2 linked regions of the Oryzias latipes genome follow. The protein of the gene in region 1 binds, or shares a complex with, the protein of each later gene. Links are inferred from orthologs where the notes say so. Each region holds a gene or a part of one and is shown in the gene's direction. Other genes may lie near its edges. The genes, in order: sptlc1 and ORM1-like protein 3.

What was found.
Region 2: the proteins of sptlc1 (region 1) and ORM1-like protein 3 are in contact, whole or in part, in a cryo-EM structure (PDB 7K0N), measured with the Homo sapiens proteins. The link is inferred for Oryzias latipes from reciprocal best matches to the Homo sapiens genes SPTLC1 and ORMDL3. Residues at the interface, in NP_006406.1 of Homo sapiens: Ala16, Leu17, Ala20, Pro21, Tyr23, His24, Leu27, Glu28, Leu31, Ile32, Trp34, Ile35, Leu38, Leu39, Ser41, Lys42, Thr43, Tyr44, Lys45, Leu46, Gln47; in NP_001307730.1 of Homo sapiens: Gly92, Val93, Gln94, Phe95, Thr96, Ala97, Lys100, Thr103, Ile104, Ile107, Tyr110, Phe111, Ser114, Tyr119, Gln121, Phe124, Thr128, Leu131, Met132, Leu139, Pro140, His143.

What each region holds. Positions count from the first base shown.
Region 1 is NC_019870.2:27,659,359-27,667,430, reverse strand, and holds the start of sptlc1 (serine palmitoyltransferase 1), read left to right. Parts: upstream 1-2,679; 5' UTR 2,680-2,728; coding exon 2,729-2,782; intron 2,783-4,877; coding exon 4,878-4,988; intron 4,989-5,061; coding exon 5,062-5,156; intron 5,157-6,180; coding exon 6,181-6,274; intron 6,275-6,351; coding exon 6,352-6,424; intron 6,425-8,072. UniProt on the Homo sapiens protein: Component of the serine palmitoyltransferase multisubunit enzyme (SPT) that catalyzes the initial and rate-limiting step in sphingolipid biosynthesis by condensing L-serine and activated acyl-CoA (most commonly palmitoyl-CoA) to form long-chain bases.
Region 2 is NC_019877.2:18,588,031-18,595,841, reverse strand, and holds the start of ORM1-like protein 3, read left to right. Parts: upstream 1-3,472; 5' UTR 3,473-3,778; exon of another isoform or gene 3,779-3,779; intron 3,780-4,458; 5' UTR 4,459-4,507; coding exon 4,508-4,681; intron 4,682-4,779; coding exon 4,780-4,931; intron 4,932-6,037; coding exon 6,038-6,173; 3' UTR 6,174-7,811. UniProt on the Homo sapiens protein: Plays an essential role in the homeostatic regulation of sphingolipid de novo biosynthesis by modulating the activity of the serine palmitoyltransferase (SPT) in response to ceramide levels.

The sequences.
Region 1 (8,072 bases):
GCTTTGCATCCAGCGGTTATGCAGGCATCTCCATAGCTATTCTTCAGAATCTCTTTAAAACCCGTTAGGATTTATTGGCCCAAAGTGTTTTCTTTGCCGGCTGTCCTCCAGTAAGTCTTAGAACGTGGGAATTAGAGGCTGATGATCGGTGAACGCTGCAGGATCTAAACATCACAGATAAGACAAGTAAAAACTGACTTCATTTGAAAGTCAGTGTTCTGTCAGTGACTGAGGTTGGATACTGATGTTTCAGACTGCCCCCTGCTGGTGACAAAGCAAACAACAAGCCTACAACAGCATAGCCAGCGGCAACGTCAGGTCACTGGAAAGAGTCTTGATTTGATTTGATTTTGATTTATTGATATATGTCAAGCATTGTAGTCAAAGCAATAAAGAATTGACACTTATTTATCAAAGTCATTACAGAAATGATGAAATGCATAGATTAAAAAGACAGAAAATAAAACAAAACCAAAAAGTCACTTAAATCACGTTTGCTTAATTAAATACAGTGATCATTAACTAAAGTCAAGTAGAGCTTGATTTATTGCTTGAAAAGGAGCGGGAAGAAGCAAACGTATATAATCCCACCCCTACTGAGTAAATTCATTTTACAATTTTACTGTTGTAATTAAAATAGCTTTGATTATTTCACCACCATCAAGTTCATGTATTTGGAATTATTCCTTAACTCGACTTATCTTTATATCATGAGATCAGAGTTTCTTTATACCTTTTTCTTGAATATCTGAACATTGTTTGAGCTCATTACTGAACCCGTTCCAAAGTTTAGTGCCACACACCGACACACAGAAACTTTTCTTTATGGTTCTTATCAGTTTGATCTTGAAGTTCCTACATCCTTCATTTTCTAAGTACTGTTTCTGGATATTGAATGGTAACGAAGTCTTCCACTGTTCTTTGTATAGCGGGTTAAGAAAATGAATGAATGGATTATTTAGGGCTGTCTTGATGATCCAGCCTCCTTCAGCAGATGGTGCTGGTGCTTCTCAGCATCTACAGCAGATTGCCATGTTGGATAGCGGCCTCTGCCGGCGATTATTGCCCGATCATATAGTTTACATGCATGCCACATGCACTGCGCTGGCCTGTGAGGAGAAACTCAGATCTGATGTCTGCAAATGCATCCAAACATGTCTGTTCAGACGCGCCTTCCGCTTGTTGGCAGCCCGCCATGACCTGCGACCTCACAGCTCAAGGCTCGGTCTTTTCATGCACCTTGTTTGTTTGTATAGAACTGTTGTGAGAAAACTTACAATGGCTTATCTTGGAGACATGTTCGTTGCTCCAGGTATGAAAAAATATATAAAAAAGGATGTGAAAATAAAGGAATTTGATTTTTTTTTTCTTCTTTCCCATTCAGGCATAGGTTTGAACAGAGCGAACTGGGGCTGGCCCATCACTTTCCACCTACAGGAACAAGAAGGAACAATTTTATTCTGCTGCAACTCATTCTTTCGAAAGGGACCAAAATATGGACGTTACCTGTTAAAGCATCTTTCAGATCAAAGACACCACACATGCTTAGTGTATGGTTTGAAGTCAAATATGTGAACCTTTTCAGCATATCTCTTTAGGGGTCACCACAGCTAATCAGCTTTTACTGATTTGTACAGGTGTTACAGCAAAGATTTAGACTCCAGTTGTCTTTCCTGACAGAACACTGTATTTTATCCAGGCTGGGGACCGGCACAGGGGGACAAAGACCTTTGGCTGCAATATTAACATGAAGGTGCTCGCCCAAGGACCCGCACTGGGGGAGGTTCATTGTGCCATTTGGGAAGCCAACCCGGTCTTATACCCAGCCAACTGAGCCACCTAGCTGTTTGATAGGAAATGCTGTCATTAAAGTCCCACTTCAATCATCTTTGGATCTGTTGTAAAAGTGTTCCCGGTGGTCTTTTAATCATGATGATGTCATTTCTAGCCAAAATTTTAAAAAAAAAACAGTGTCGTTTTCTGGGATATAGTTTGAGATGTGGTTGAGATGTATTCCAGATGTGGGTGGGGCTGTTGGCCCTGAGCAACCCCATCCCTGTTACTGAGAGCTCTCTGTTAACACCCTCTGCCGATAGCTTACAGCCCGTTCCACCCCCAACCTAACATTAGAGGTGCAACAAAAATGGAGATCAATGTCAGATCTATCCAGTCATACAGTCTTGGGCCAGATGCCAGCTACGAAAGGAAAATGAAGACATACACGGATATGTTTGTCTGCAAGTGGACCAATCAGAATGGAGCAGAGCAGGGAGCTTGTGGCCCCCAAGCGAATTTTCTACATCACAAATATGATCTTTTTCAAGCTGCATTTTCTTGTCTGCTCCTGATTCACAATAATTTGCATAAAGAAATGCTCAGCTTTAAAACTTTTCTTAACAGATGTCCTCCGTCATAAGAAAAATGCCACAAAAACATGTTAAAAACACCAAAAACACCATTTTCATCAGAATAGGGTTACATGCAACCCACTAATTTACCTTCTAATTCTTTCAGTATTTTGGATTTTAAAGTGAATTTCGGCAGGTGCAAATCTGCTTAAAAATTCAGTTCAGCTGAACAAAACAAGTCGGATTCCGAATTTTAACAAACTAAAATGGAACTAATTAAATGTACATTAAAATGACCGAGGATTTGATGGGAATTGTTTGACATTCCAGCTGGACCCTGAACGCAGCATGACGATGACATCACAGAAGGCGGAAGCGTCATGGCGGCCGGGCAGCAGTGGGTGCTGGTGGAGATGGTTCAGGCCTTCTACGAGGTATGGTGGGACCCCCGCTCCGACGGTAGGGAGGGAGGGAGGGAGGGGGGTCTTTCTTCAGCACCTGGACCGTTCTTCACTGCTAGCTTAAGGAAACGATGTTTGGGCGCGCGCGGCTGGTGTTCTCCGGGGGTCCTCCGGGGGCGGAGCATCAGGGCTCCGCGTGCGGAAGGGTGGAGGGGGACTCTGTTACCCTTAAGTGTACAACAACCCCTCTCATTTCTGTGCCTCTGAGTTAAGTTAGTTAGTATGAGTTGTTTTCGGTGGGTTAACCTAACTTGAGTGAACTCGCTTTGGGTTCATCTATCCCGGGTGAAGATAGTGTCGTTTTTGTTTAGATTAATTTCTCCCAGTTTTATCAACAGTCAGGCACCAGAGAGGCTGGTCAGGGTTAGATTAGTTACTCTGAGACAGAAGACAAATCCTCAGTGATTCTCCATGGCAACAGGTCAATAGATGGAGCAGGACTGTGCCTGTGGAGTCACTGTTTCTAAAGACCCACTCCAATGAAAATGTGTTTAACGTTTCCTTTTCGCATTTGTCTCATGATGTATTTAGAAAACTAAGATTAAAATTTGATTATTAGTTTATCCGGTTCATAACTTTTATCAGACAGACTTAAGAATCCTGAAGAATCAATAAAGCACCTGACAAAGACGAATTACTTATTACGTAAAACTATCTTAGAAATCAACATAGCACATGCAGGCCAGTTATCTAACATATGTGCAGATTATGTTTACTGAGAAATCATGACTATAATTAAAAATAACAGACAGAAACACTGTTTCAGAAATCTTCATAGCAAATCCAGATCAAGTATCAAAACTTAAAAATACATGTGCAGATTATTTTTCATTAGAAAAAAATGCTGAATCAATTGTTGGAGCAAGTGAAGTGATATAATTAGAGATCAATCACTTTAATCATCTCCAATAATTGATTAAGTTTTTTTTTTTTAATTATAATTATAAGGTAATAATAAGGGTCCATATTCTGACCACCGTCCAAGGTTGGTATTCGTTTTTCTGTTGCCCGATTGACAGCCGTCCTGGTTTTAATAGAGTTTATAAGTTCTCTTCGCTGTTATGTCTGCAGGCCTTGTTATGGTCCGTGTCCTTCTACAGCTTTAATCAGCGCAGCTGAAAGTTTTCTCGAATCGTCGTGACCGTGGAGCAGAAGAAATGCACAGTTTGAAAAAGCTTCTGGGTGGTAAATGGCGTGTACTACTACCTCAGTCATCCTTCTACACACCAATATTACTGCCCATTTGTGTTGCACCTCTAATGTTGGGTTGGGGTTGTGAAGGGCAGTTCTGGCCACAACTCGGAGGTGAATTTCTAATGAACTCCTGCCGCCCTGCAGAAACTATGTCGTAGAAAACAACACAGGTACTACAATTATACTAGGTCTATACCTAAAGTGAGGCAGTATACTACAAGTATCAGTATGCAGTAAGTATTCCTACTACACTACACGTTCATGGTCTATAGTCTCTACCTGCTACACTTGTACTCATGGATACTCCGTAAAATAAAGTATACTACTTTTTGCTAAGGGTTGTGTGTAGATTCCCCCCCCAACATAATAAAATTGCTGCTGAAACAGCTTTAATTAAATATGAGAGCAGCGTTCATTAGGATTTGATCTGAAAGATCAATTATTTCATCCGACCATTGTCCCAGCTTCTGTTGGGTGAAGGCGGGGTTCACACCCCCCACAGGTCGCCAGTCTGCTGCCGGTCACTCACGCATTCACACCTGGGGAGACATGGAGTAACCGGTTAACCGATGAAGCAGGATTAAAATAATGTTACCATCACATAAAAGCCAATCAATCCGATGGTTCAGAGCTTGAACACAGAAAATCTTGCCTCAGAATAAATGTTACAATGTTTATGCTCAGTTTCCTTTTAGGAGCTGAAGGAGGTCAGATCAGAGGCTCCGCCCACTCACTCCTCAGTTAGGCTGAATCATTTCCGGGTCCGATCCAGTCGGCCACGACTGCTGACCATTATTCCAGAAAGGTGTTCAGGTGTTCATAGGTGGTGTGCTCCTCTGCTGGGGTCCTTCATCCTCTGCTCTCTGGGCTCCAGGCTCCTGCGTATCACCTGATTCTAGAGGGGATCCTGATCCTGTGGATCGTCAGACTCCTTTTTTTCTCCAAGACCTACAAACCGCACGAGACCTACAAACTCACCGAGAAGGTAGCCTCGCCTGTGCGCACGCTCCACCACAGATCCTGAGTTTGCGGGTGGCTGACATCCTCTGTGTTTTCAGGAAAAAGAAGATCTGATCGAGGAATGGCAGCCGGAGCCTCTGGTTCCTCCAGTTTCCAAAGATCACCCTTCGCTCAACTACGACGTGGTCACAGGGTAAAAACTCCAGGGGGCGCTCCTCCGCTGCGCTCGCTACACATGCATCAGCAGGTCCAGAGCCCTCCTGCGGCATCAAACCAGCAGATGTGAAGTGTGTTCCTGTCGTTGGATCTGTCTTCTCTGCACACGTTTCCAGAGCCTCACCAAGCTCCAAATCCAGGCAGAAGCAGCTTCACATCACGCTCTGTGCGTCTTTTTGTTCGCCTTAATAATGCCGCGTGTGCACGTGCTGCCTTTGAACGTGCATGTTCGGATTCCTCGCGCCTGTAGCAGCTGTCCTCAGACCTGACTTAAAAGTGCAGCACATCAAGCCGACCAATCCCAGCTGCCGATGTCCGACCACACCCCTTTTCTTGCTGAAGCTTTTCCTCTGTGCTGGCCTCCATCATTGCTGGATCTCACAGAGATGTGCACAGAGATGTGCACGGTCTGGACTGAGATGTTTCCGCTCCGTGTCTCGTTCAGGCTCATGTAGGAGAGAATTAGGCCGAATCCGAATTCTTCCTCTACCGCTACGGCTTCTCCCCACCCCCTACAAACGGAGTACCAAACGGAGAGTTATTCAAAAACAACGTCTTCTAATTCAGACGTCACTCCCACTCGATGATGTCATCAATAGTCGCCGGTCACCCGCATTAGCAAGTAGCTTCCAGTGCCCGGAAAAGCCATGCAAAAACAAAAGGGCCTTACTTACAGTCATTACTCCAAATGCCCCTTACCGTTGGAGGGATAGGGGAAGAATTCAGATTCGGCCCTAGCAGCTCTCCAGCTTTCTCTGAGAAAACCCTGAAGTAGAAGATCCACGGTCCTGTTCCAGATATTCAGCGTCCCACAAACGGCGCCCGCTGATTCCCTCAGAAACTCTGAGGAGATCCAGAGGAGATCCACGTGCCACATTGTACAGAGTTCATGTCTTTGAATGTTCTCCTCAATCATCTCAGGGTTTTAAGGGTTTCCATGCCTGCAGCATTAAACTGAATATGTTACCATTGACAGTCAAATTGTCATATTTTTATTGCAGACCCCCCAGCCACAAAATCATCATTAATGGCAAAGAGTGCACCAACTTTGCATCTTTTAACTTCCTGGGCCTCCTGGACAGCGACCGTGTAAAGGTCCGAACTTTGCTGAAGCTTCTGCCCCCCGATGGGAACGTTGGAATGATTTTTTTTCCCCCCCTGACTCGTTTCAGGACAAGGCTTTGGCATCCCTGAAAAAGTACGGCGTGGGCACGTGTGGCCCCAGAGGCTTCTACGGGACCTTCGGTGAGTGTGCGGTTCCTGCAGTCTGCCTCACGCGGTGACGGTTCTGGTGACGGCAGATCAGGCAGTAACATCACCTGTTTCTCCAGAGAGGGGGAGGCAGCAGGAGGAGCTGTTTGGTTCTGCAGGAGAAAGCAGATTCTCATAGTCCCACCCCCATCATCGTTTGATCTGTTGTCAAAGCGTCCCCAGTGCTTTTTTATTATTAATATACCGTTTTTTGCCCCCCCCAAAAAAAGAAAACATGTTGTTTTCGAGGACCTACGTTATGTACGAATTCCTTCCCTACTCACTATAAACTATATATACTATATAGTATTTATAGTTCGTTTACCGTTTTCTAGAGCTGTCTGAATCTACAATTCCAAAATTTTGTGTCTAGAAATTTCCCAGAAGTCTTTGCGAAAAACCAGTGTGCATTGATGCTCACTAGAATTCAGACCACAATGCATTGCATCGGAGCAATTTTTACCAAGAAAATGTATTTAAACGTATTTTTTTATAAACCATCAACGTTTTTATCTTCAGAAGACAGTGGACTCATAAATAATCGTCACAAAACGCTCATGTTCATTAGATTTTAACTTTGTGAAATTGATGACGTCATATCAACGGTTTAATAAAAAAGTAGTAAACATGGTGTCCGAATTGCTATTAAAATCCAGGGCACTACATAGAGCCGCACTATATAGTTTTTAGTGGTTAGGGTGGGAATTCGCCATAGTTTCTGTTTGCGACTCTTGGTTTGGAGTAAGCCCATCCGCACTTCCAATCATCCACCTGTTAACATGCTCTCCGGCTAGCTTACAGCCTCTCACGCTCCCAACCTAAGAGTAGTGGTGCAGCAAAAATGGCAGCAGTATCAGAAAACTTAAAAAAACACCAAAAGCACCACTTTTATCTGAGTGGGTCTTTAAAAATAACTTCTGACTGTCAAAAGGTGAACGATTCATCATTTGATTGACAGGGAAGTTCAGACCTTTCTGGTCTTAACTGACAGACAAACACAGAATAAAATAATTAGATTTCTGAGTCCCTCAGTTTGTGGAGGGGTTTCTCTGTTTTTGCGGCGTCAGTCCAGTCCAGGTCTGGAGCCAGAGCCCGACCTGGGGGTGTTGTGGGGGATAAGGGTTAGTGTGCAGCCCCCATGCTCAAAGATCTGATCTACGTTACAGTCTCTAATGGAGCATCCTCTTCCTCTTCGTCACATGGCAAAGCGGTGTCACCCAGTGGACTGGAGGGGGGCACTGCAGCTTGTTCGGTTGCAGGTTGAAGAGCTACACCAGGGGTGTCAAACTCAGATTTACAGTGGGCCAAAATGAAGCAATATTCAGTATTTATTGAAAATGAACTCCAACTTACGTTGTGCTTAAACACAGAATCTGGAACAACCAAAGCTTGATATTACAAATATATGAGAAATTAAATTTGAAATAATAGACACATCAGTGGTGTTTTTTTCTTATTTAAATAAATAAATAAAGTATGTTTCTCTCCGTATCCTTTTAAGTTCTTTTTAAAGGTAAATCTTTTTCAAAGCCCACAACAAAAGAACCAAAAATAATAATGTCATTCAATAAAAATCCAACATTTCAAATATGAACAGACCAGGCCTGACAGTAGAAAAAGTGCAGAAGAAACAGATATATTC
Region 2 (7,811 bases), on another chromosome or scaffold:
GTGAGCTCCACATTCAAGAAGAACTAAATCATTCCTGGGATGTTGTTGCAGCCACAAATTGCACTGATGTTACTGCAAGAGCACAAACTAGAACCAGTTTTATGTGTTCTTGGTGACATCTGCTGGTCTGCTACACTTTTGCGGATCATTTGCATTTATTAAATTAACATTTAATCTGTTCTTAGAGATAAAATAAAAAATCTATATTTATCAGATTTTCCCCAGCCATAAATTTACAAGCTCCAATGCTGCTTTTGTCCATGTAAAACAATGCCTTTTTCAAAATTAAAACCTTAAAAAGGAAAAAAAAGAACAATAATGAAATGATTTTGTTTAACTGAATTTTTTAAATTTATTTATCCCATTTTTTTTAATCCATTTTTCCCCTTTTGAAGTTTCGATTCATGGTGTTTAGTTCACTCCTACAAATGACCTCACTCCTCTGTCATCCCCAGTTTGCTCCTAACAAAGATCTAAGTTTACACAGGTATTACTCCTAAGGCTATGAACATACAAGTCCACTGTCAAGAAGCTAAAGCTATTTGATGCCACGGTACGCAGACGTACCTTTAGAAACAGTCCATGTCGTGTAACATTTCATGCAAGTGGGCCTGTGGGCCTTAATTACTATTTAAACTTATCTTGTGATGTCAAACATGACACTGTTGATCTCTGATTTGGGGAGCATAGTGAGTTAGTGCCTCTAGCAGGAGCTGCTCTGTCTGTAGCTGCATGTTTAGCCAGGAGCGTCCTGTTGCAGGAGCATTGAGGTCCTGCTCAGTTTGATGCAGTAGTAGAGTTAGTGGTTTATGTCCTCAGTGAGAAAAATGTTGTTTGTAGCGCCTGGCAAGATTTAGCATTTGTGCTAACAGCAAGAGATTGACAGCAGGTATGGCCTTAGTCACAACTGCCTTTACGGGTGGATACGGGCTGTCTGCGGTTGAAAAACGGGCAAACCTATATGGGGCACACAGATGGCCTGCGGGAGATATCAAAGTCGAATATCCCTCGGTGATCCTGTAAAGCGAAAATGTCCATGCACATTATTTTCTACAGGCATGCTGTGGGCGAACAAGTGGAAGCAAACACTGAAATAACACGAGTTAGCAATACTATGTACACACCAGGCATTTGACATGCATATGGTGTTCACACTGGACTGTCACTACCCGATACTAGCTCAGGTACCTACAGACTTGACAAAAATGTCAAAGTGGTGCAAATCTTGCTCCAGTTTTTATATATGAAAGAATTGGTGTCATATATTGCGCCTGGGCACAAACTGTAATTGTTAATTACTCCTCCATGATCAACGTTCAAATGGTTGGCAATCACTTTAACTGAAAGGGATGCAACCCATACATCACAACCAAATCCACATCCTTTATTGGTCAAAGTTTAACTAGTTTAATTTTCTATTGGCATTCAGTGGCCACACGGTTTGTAGGTAGAGCCCAAAAAAATGAACATAAAACTTGTGCAGCAATGCATAAATGCAAGAGTTTTGAATGCGGAAGCCAAAACGCACATATACGCAAAAGCTCTCTGTTTGTTGCCACCAGGTTTGGCTGAACACTAAACTATTTTCAAAAATATATCAATAAAACATATCCGCAAGTTAATTTTGGACCATGAGGCTCACCGATCACCTATCACTCAAATTCCTGACAAGGTTCTTTGCTTTTCTGAAAAATGGTTGTTGGAGGGGTCTATAAAGTTGTTACATCTTTCAACAAAGTCATCTATAGGGCAACAGTGACTGTGTCTAGTTTTGATAACCTTAATTTTTCAAAAGGAAGACAAACGCTTGATACCTTGACAGAGCTAATCTCTATCAGGCGTCTGAGAAAACTGCGTTTTCCATAGTGAATGTGTTATAAAAGAGATTAATTCAGTTCAGTGACTCAATATAAACTGTTAGATCTTACAAAACAAAGTTCAGCAGAAGTTCATCTCTTGGATATTCATTATAAATGATCTGTTTTTCATCATTTATCAACTTCTATCAAACCATATCTTGACCCACCCTCTTGCCCAATCATAAATGAGCTGTCAATTTTAAAAATCTTCTCTTTCTTTACACTCATTTATTGCAGAACAGGGGAAAAAATCCACCTCCTTTTCAACTCCACACAGACACTGCGTCACTAAACGGTCTGAAGTCTTAGGAAAGTTCATCTTAAATTTACGTCATCATAACCAGAGCAGCTTTGGGCACCCCCGCCTCAAGTCCCTCTCAGGATTCATACGAATAAAGGTAATTGTAAATTTGAGCCTTCTGTCTTTCATTTAATCTGACTGAAAGAAAAAGTACACAGTCTCAGTGTTTGAAACAGAGTAGACCATTAGGCTTCCAGTTAAAAGTAGGTTGTGGCCTGACCACCCCTCCCATCTCCAGCTCATAGGAGAAAATGAGGCTCAGGAGTCCTAATATGACTTCCACATTGTCGTGTTTGTTTTCTCGTATGCTAACAAAAATCTCTTACTGGTGGAGATGATTGTCTTTAATAGTTTGACATTTCTTAGTGAGTGAAACCTAGTAAACAAGGTTCACATATTTCAGCCCACATCCACTTCATTTTAGACGTTGAATGGGCTTCCAACAACGCAGCCACAATTCTGAACTCAAGTACTAAAAGAATTTAAAAATATCAGGTGAAAGAAATTGCATCTCATTCAGTTATGGCATTTTATGCAAACATATTAATAAATTCAATTTAATTTTTATTTATATATCCCAACATTACAACAAAAGTAATCTCATTGGGCTTTCTGATAAACATAAAATCATAAAGAACATGAAGTCATACAGCTTAATAGGTAATGGTTAACTAAACTAAACAGACTAACTAAACTGGGCCATATAAAAAAAAAACTTTATTAATCAGACAACATGAACGTTGATTTGATTATTTTCCATAGCTCCTAAAAAAGCAAATAATAATAAATACTAAACAATAAATTATTTTATTGCTTCTGTGTATTAGTCTTATTTGATTGCTTGAAATAAACCATTTAAAATCAAATCAAAATGACAATAAAAGATAAGTGTCCAGTGTTTATGAGGAGTTGTGGAGCCAAATAACTTACAGAAAATAAGTCAATGGATTTTTTTTCTTTTTTTCATTGGTTGCTTTGACTTTTTTTTTATTTTTTCACAGCTTATTTAGACCTTCTTTTAGACTAAATTAAAGTGTTCATGTTTTCCATTACTGGAAATAAAATAAAAGTTGCTCTGTTTCATGCCTGTACTTTACTTTTTTACTAGTTTTTTGTTTTTTATCTGTGTTTCAAAAAAAAAATCTAATTTGAAAAATTCCTTTTTATTTAAAAACTTCCCTACTTTAATGAACGATCTGTTTGTTTGTTAAAGCTGCTTCTAAATGTCAATCATTTTGTTAAGCGCCTCCTCCTCTATGACGCAGGGGGCGTGGTTTACTTCTTTCATCAGCTCAGCCCGTGGCAGGCTAGTTTTTATCACATGACCTTTTACAGCCAATAGCAGCAAAATGCGATCAAAAACTGTGGCAATGAAAGTGGATATCGCTGACGTTTCTTTGTGGCGTGTGCGGTGTTTTCACCAGCTGTTGGCTAGAGGAGCGAGTAAAAGTTGAAGCAGTCTCGGTAGCTTGCGTCCCAGTGAGCGGACGGTTACAGTATGACCACCAAAGCAGGGACGGGAAGATGGCGTTAACGACGGCAGTGGACCAGCGCGTGCACCGGTTACACAACTAGCGGATCGCTTTACACAAGCTGAGATAACGGACTGTTGTCCTCAGGTACGAGTTAAAAACATCAACTTACACCTTAATTTTTCTCAGCTATAATTTGCATAAATGGACATACTTTAAGTTCGCTTCTTTAGAGGTTTTATTGCAGTTCATTTTGTCTCGAGTTTGGACAAGTTAGTGAATAACGTTCTACCACCTTGTTTATTAAATATTTGCAGTTTTTAGCGGCATATATATTCTCTTTTTTACTGCTTTATTTTTTAAATATTATATATATAATTTAAATATTTAGTGTATAAATTTTCTATCTTTCTATTTGTGTTTTTTGCGAACAAAAAAACAGGTAATTTTTGCAGGTGGCTGGCTAGGGTGCACTAGTTGGACATTTTTATTTTGTTTTTATTCTTAAAGCTTTTCGACATTAATATTAGCTGTTTTCTTTAATGTTTTGCTGGGATTTTTTAAAAGAAAAAATCAAAAAATCGTGTTTCAAACATGTTCTGGTAGCATTTTTCTCATGGTGGAGGACATATATATTAAAGAAAATTAAGATTAAACTTACATTTCTGAATATTTCTTGATTTAAATCGGTACCAATCAGATGCAGACGAAAAATACTGTTTGAAAAAACAAAAGACAAGCCACAAGCTCCCTGCTCCGCTCCATTCCGATGCATTCGCTTGCAGACAAACAGATCCGTGAACGTCTTTGTTTTTCTCCTGTGAACTAGTATCTGGCTAAAAAGTCTACGGCTGGGTAGCAGCAGTATTGGCATCATGAACGTGGGGACGGCACACAGCGAGGTGAACCCGAACACCCGGGTGATGAACAGCAGGGGCATGTGGCTTTCCTACACTCTTAGCATCGGCCTCCTTCATCTCATCCTTCTCAGCATCCCTTTTGTCAGCGTCCCAGTTGTCTGGACCCTCACCAACATGATCCACAATCTGGTGAGTGAAGCCAAAAATATCTACCATAGAAGCCAAAACTGGCATTTTTTTGAGTAGGACATGAAAGTTAACTTTGTGGTTTTTTTTCTCTTTTGCAGTGCATGTATCTGCTCCTTCACACAGTCAAAGGGACGCCCTTCCAGACGCCAGATCAGGGCAAAGCTCGCCTCCTCACACACTGGGAGCAGATGGACTACGGTGTGCAGTTCACTGCGTCCCGCAAGTTCCTCACTGTCACACCTATTGTCTTGTAAGTAGTTTGAGAACGCGTCTCGTTTTTAAGCAATGTTCACACCGCCCTAGGCAATGCATGTTCAAGTGGCCACTTCCTAATAAGTCTTTTGTAAACGCGCATTTCACGGCTTTCTTGCATTCCGGCGAAGCTACGCAAGCTTTTACGACCGTTTTCGGGCTCTATGTATAAAACAAGTCCCCATTGAACACACATTGTAAGTTAAACCAGTTTGTACTTTGACCAATCAGGGACTTGGATTTGGTAGTGGCGTATTGGTGGCCCAGGATTGACGGAAAAACTGCCGGAAGCGCGATGAAACTCACCAAACTTGGAGTGTAGGCGGTTTATCTGGTCTGATTTGATTTCAAATAAAGATAGACCAAGGCCACTCTCGCATATCTGTTTTGCAATTACGCTAGCAATAAACCAAATCATTCAATGCCCAAATCGCAAGATTTACACCACCTTGACATTTTGCACCAAGCCTCTTCCAACTTTAGTTGGCGGACATGCGCTAGTAAATGTGGAAAAAGAAGAAGCCTTTCCCAGTGTGTCCAGTGTGAAGCACGTTCTTGAGCGCATGTGTATGTAGCTTTAAGGTTGAAAGTAGAACCACAGGAGTTTGTTTGAAATGGAACCCGAGCTCCTTTTAAGCTTTTAGTTTCAGGTTTACATTTACAAATATGCTCACAATCACAGCTTTTCTCTTATTTTCCTCACAAGCCTTCGAACTTGTTAGGGGCCTCATGGTTTTCGGGAACACCTCCCCCTGCTTTCCTGGCTTGTTTTTTTATTAACCCAGAGTTCAGGTTACAGACGGGTCTTTACTTCTCTGGGGTTCATTTGCCAGTTGAGAGTAAAAGCTGTGACGGCAGTGTTTCCCCTGAACTTCATTTGGATTGACTGATTTTGAAACGTGTTCTCACATGTCAGCTCAGAAATATTCACCTCCTGTGTTTGTACTCAAACATATAAGGATTGTGTGGGATGATGGTTTGATCTTGTTTGTGGTTTTTGTGAGAAGGAAAAGCTCTAAAGGGACGTTAATGGGTATTTTCCCTAAAGAGGATAACCTGTCTTAACATTTTATTCTCCTTCTCTTTTCTTTACCTCTGATGCAGGTATTTGTTAACCAGCTTCTACACGAAATACGACCGAGTCCATTTTGTGGTCAACACCGTTTCCTTGCTCACTGTGCTCATCCCTAAGCTGCCGCAGCTCCACGGCGTCAGAATTTTTGGGATTAACAAATACTGACAGAATGGAGACGGACTCCTCTTCACTTTTTTCCTGGTACAGCAAAGAGCACTCGCAGTTCCTTCTGCAGTCTTCTGGAACACAGCTCTCTGAAGGAACTCCCAGGAGGATTCTGCCATGGTTCCTAACCCTCGCTAGAGACACTGTACTGCACAGAAGCAAACAGGGAAGTTTCATGACTCTGATCTGTAATCTTGGATTCGCCTGCATGTTTGTTTTTTAATTGAAAGGGAATTTATCTTAGATTAACAGTATCAAAGGTGGGCGACTGTAGTTGTATTCTTATTTTATTTATTCAGCTTCCTTCCTATGTGCAGCTGGCTCCTGGGTTTGGGATTGAAGGAAGGAGAGCAGTAACGTTTGAAATGATCAGGGAGCTGCGAACCGCCACAGAGGCCAGACTCCACGAACCACAGCGGTTTATATTTAGCTTTCTCTGCTCAGGGTCAGGAATAAAACCTTACCCAACTCTTGCAATTATGTGCCCGTTTCCATATTGGGACATCTTGTCCTTCTTTGACCTGTTTGCAAAATAGTCTGGCTCTTGTTAAGAATGTGAGGGAAAAAGTTCTTGACTGAAAAGATTTCCAAACTGCTCAGCAATAAACTGAACAATAGATGTGTTCAGAAATCACTACCAATCATGTTTTGTTATTTAGGATTAATAAATGTAATTTTATTTTCTAAATCTCTCATTAGAGATTCACCAATTTCAAACTCTATTTTTATTTTTTTTATTTCTGATCCGTTTATTGGGAGTTATGGCCACTTTGTCACTCCTTATCCTAATAAATCACTTCCCACTGTTTGCAAATTAAAACAAAAAACAAATCTTGCAGCTCTTGAAAAATAAATAGTTCTCAGTCTTGATTGCTTTATTATCTATTTGTGATTAATGGAGAAGACTTTTTTTTTAAACCGCCATATCCTGGATTGAAGCTGAGGTGGGTGGAGCAAACTCTGGTTCATGTGCCCAACCCACTTCAACCTTAGCTCTTGCTTTTTTTAAATCCCTTGGTTGACGTTCTTGATGTGTCCAGTTTAGACATGCCTATGAACCCAGCATCAACAGAGGGCTTTATGCCACTGCATTACGGTCAATATGCTTTTATAATCTGACGGGTAATCCATGAAGGAAGTGAGCTGATTCCATCACGGTTCGATTCTTTCATAAATCTTCCCGTCGTTGTTCCTACTCAGCTGCTTCCTGCGTTACAATTACTCCATAGGATGTTTTTGTGACCAAAGAGAAAAGTTTTTCCTAAATCAGGCAGGAAAAGAGGAAAGGTCATCGTTAAATATCCACATGACAACCTGGAATATTTTTGCAGTGAGTGATGTTCACATCTGCTTTGAATCTGTGGGCACAGACCGTACAAACATAGATGTTTACAGACTCTGCACACTTTAAAGATGGTCCCCTCAACTCTGTTTGTTGTAAAGTCCCATAAGCTGCTGTTTAAGCTTGGCAGAGACCATAAAGCTGTCCACTATTAATGCCTCCTCTGAACCATGGCTTCATTTCTACAGAGATATTTCTGCAACCAAATATTACGACGCTTTTAACGCAACAATTTTAAATCCCACTGACTCACCCCTTAAATCAGAGACTGGGGGAAAATGGCGTATTTGATCAAA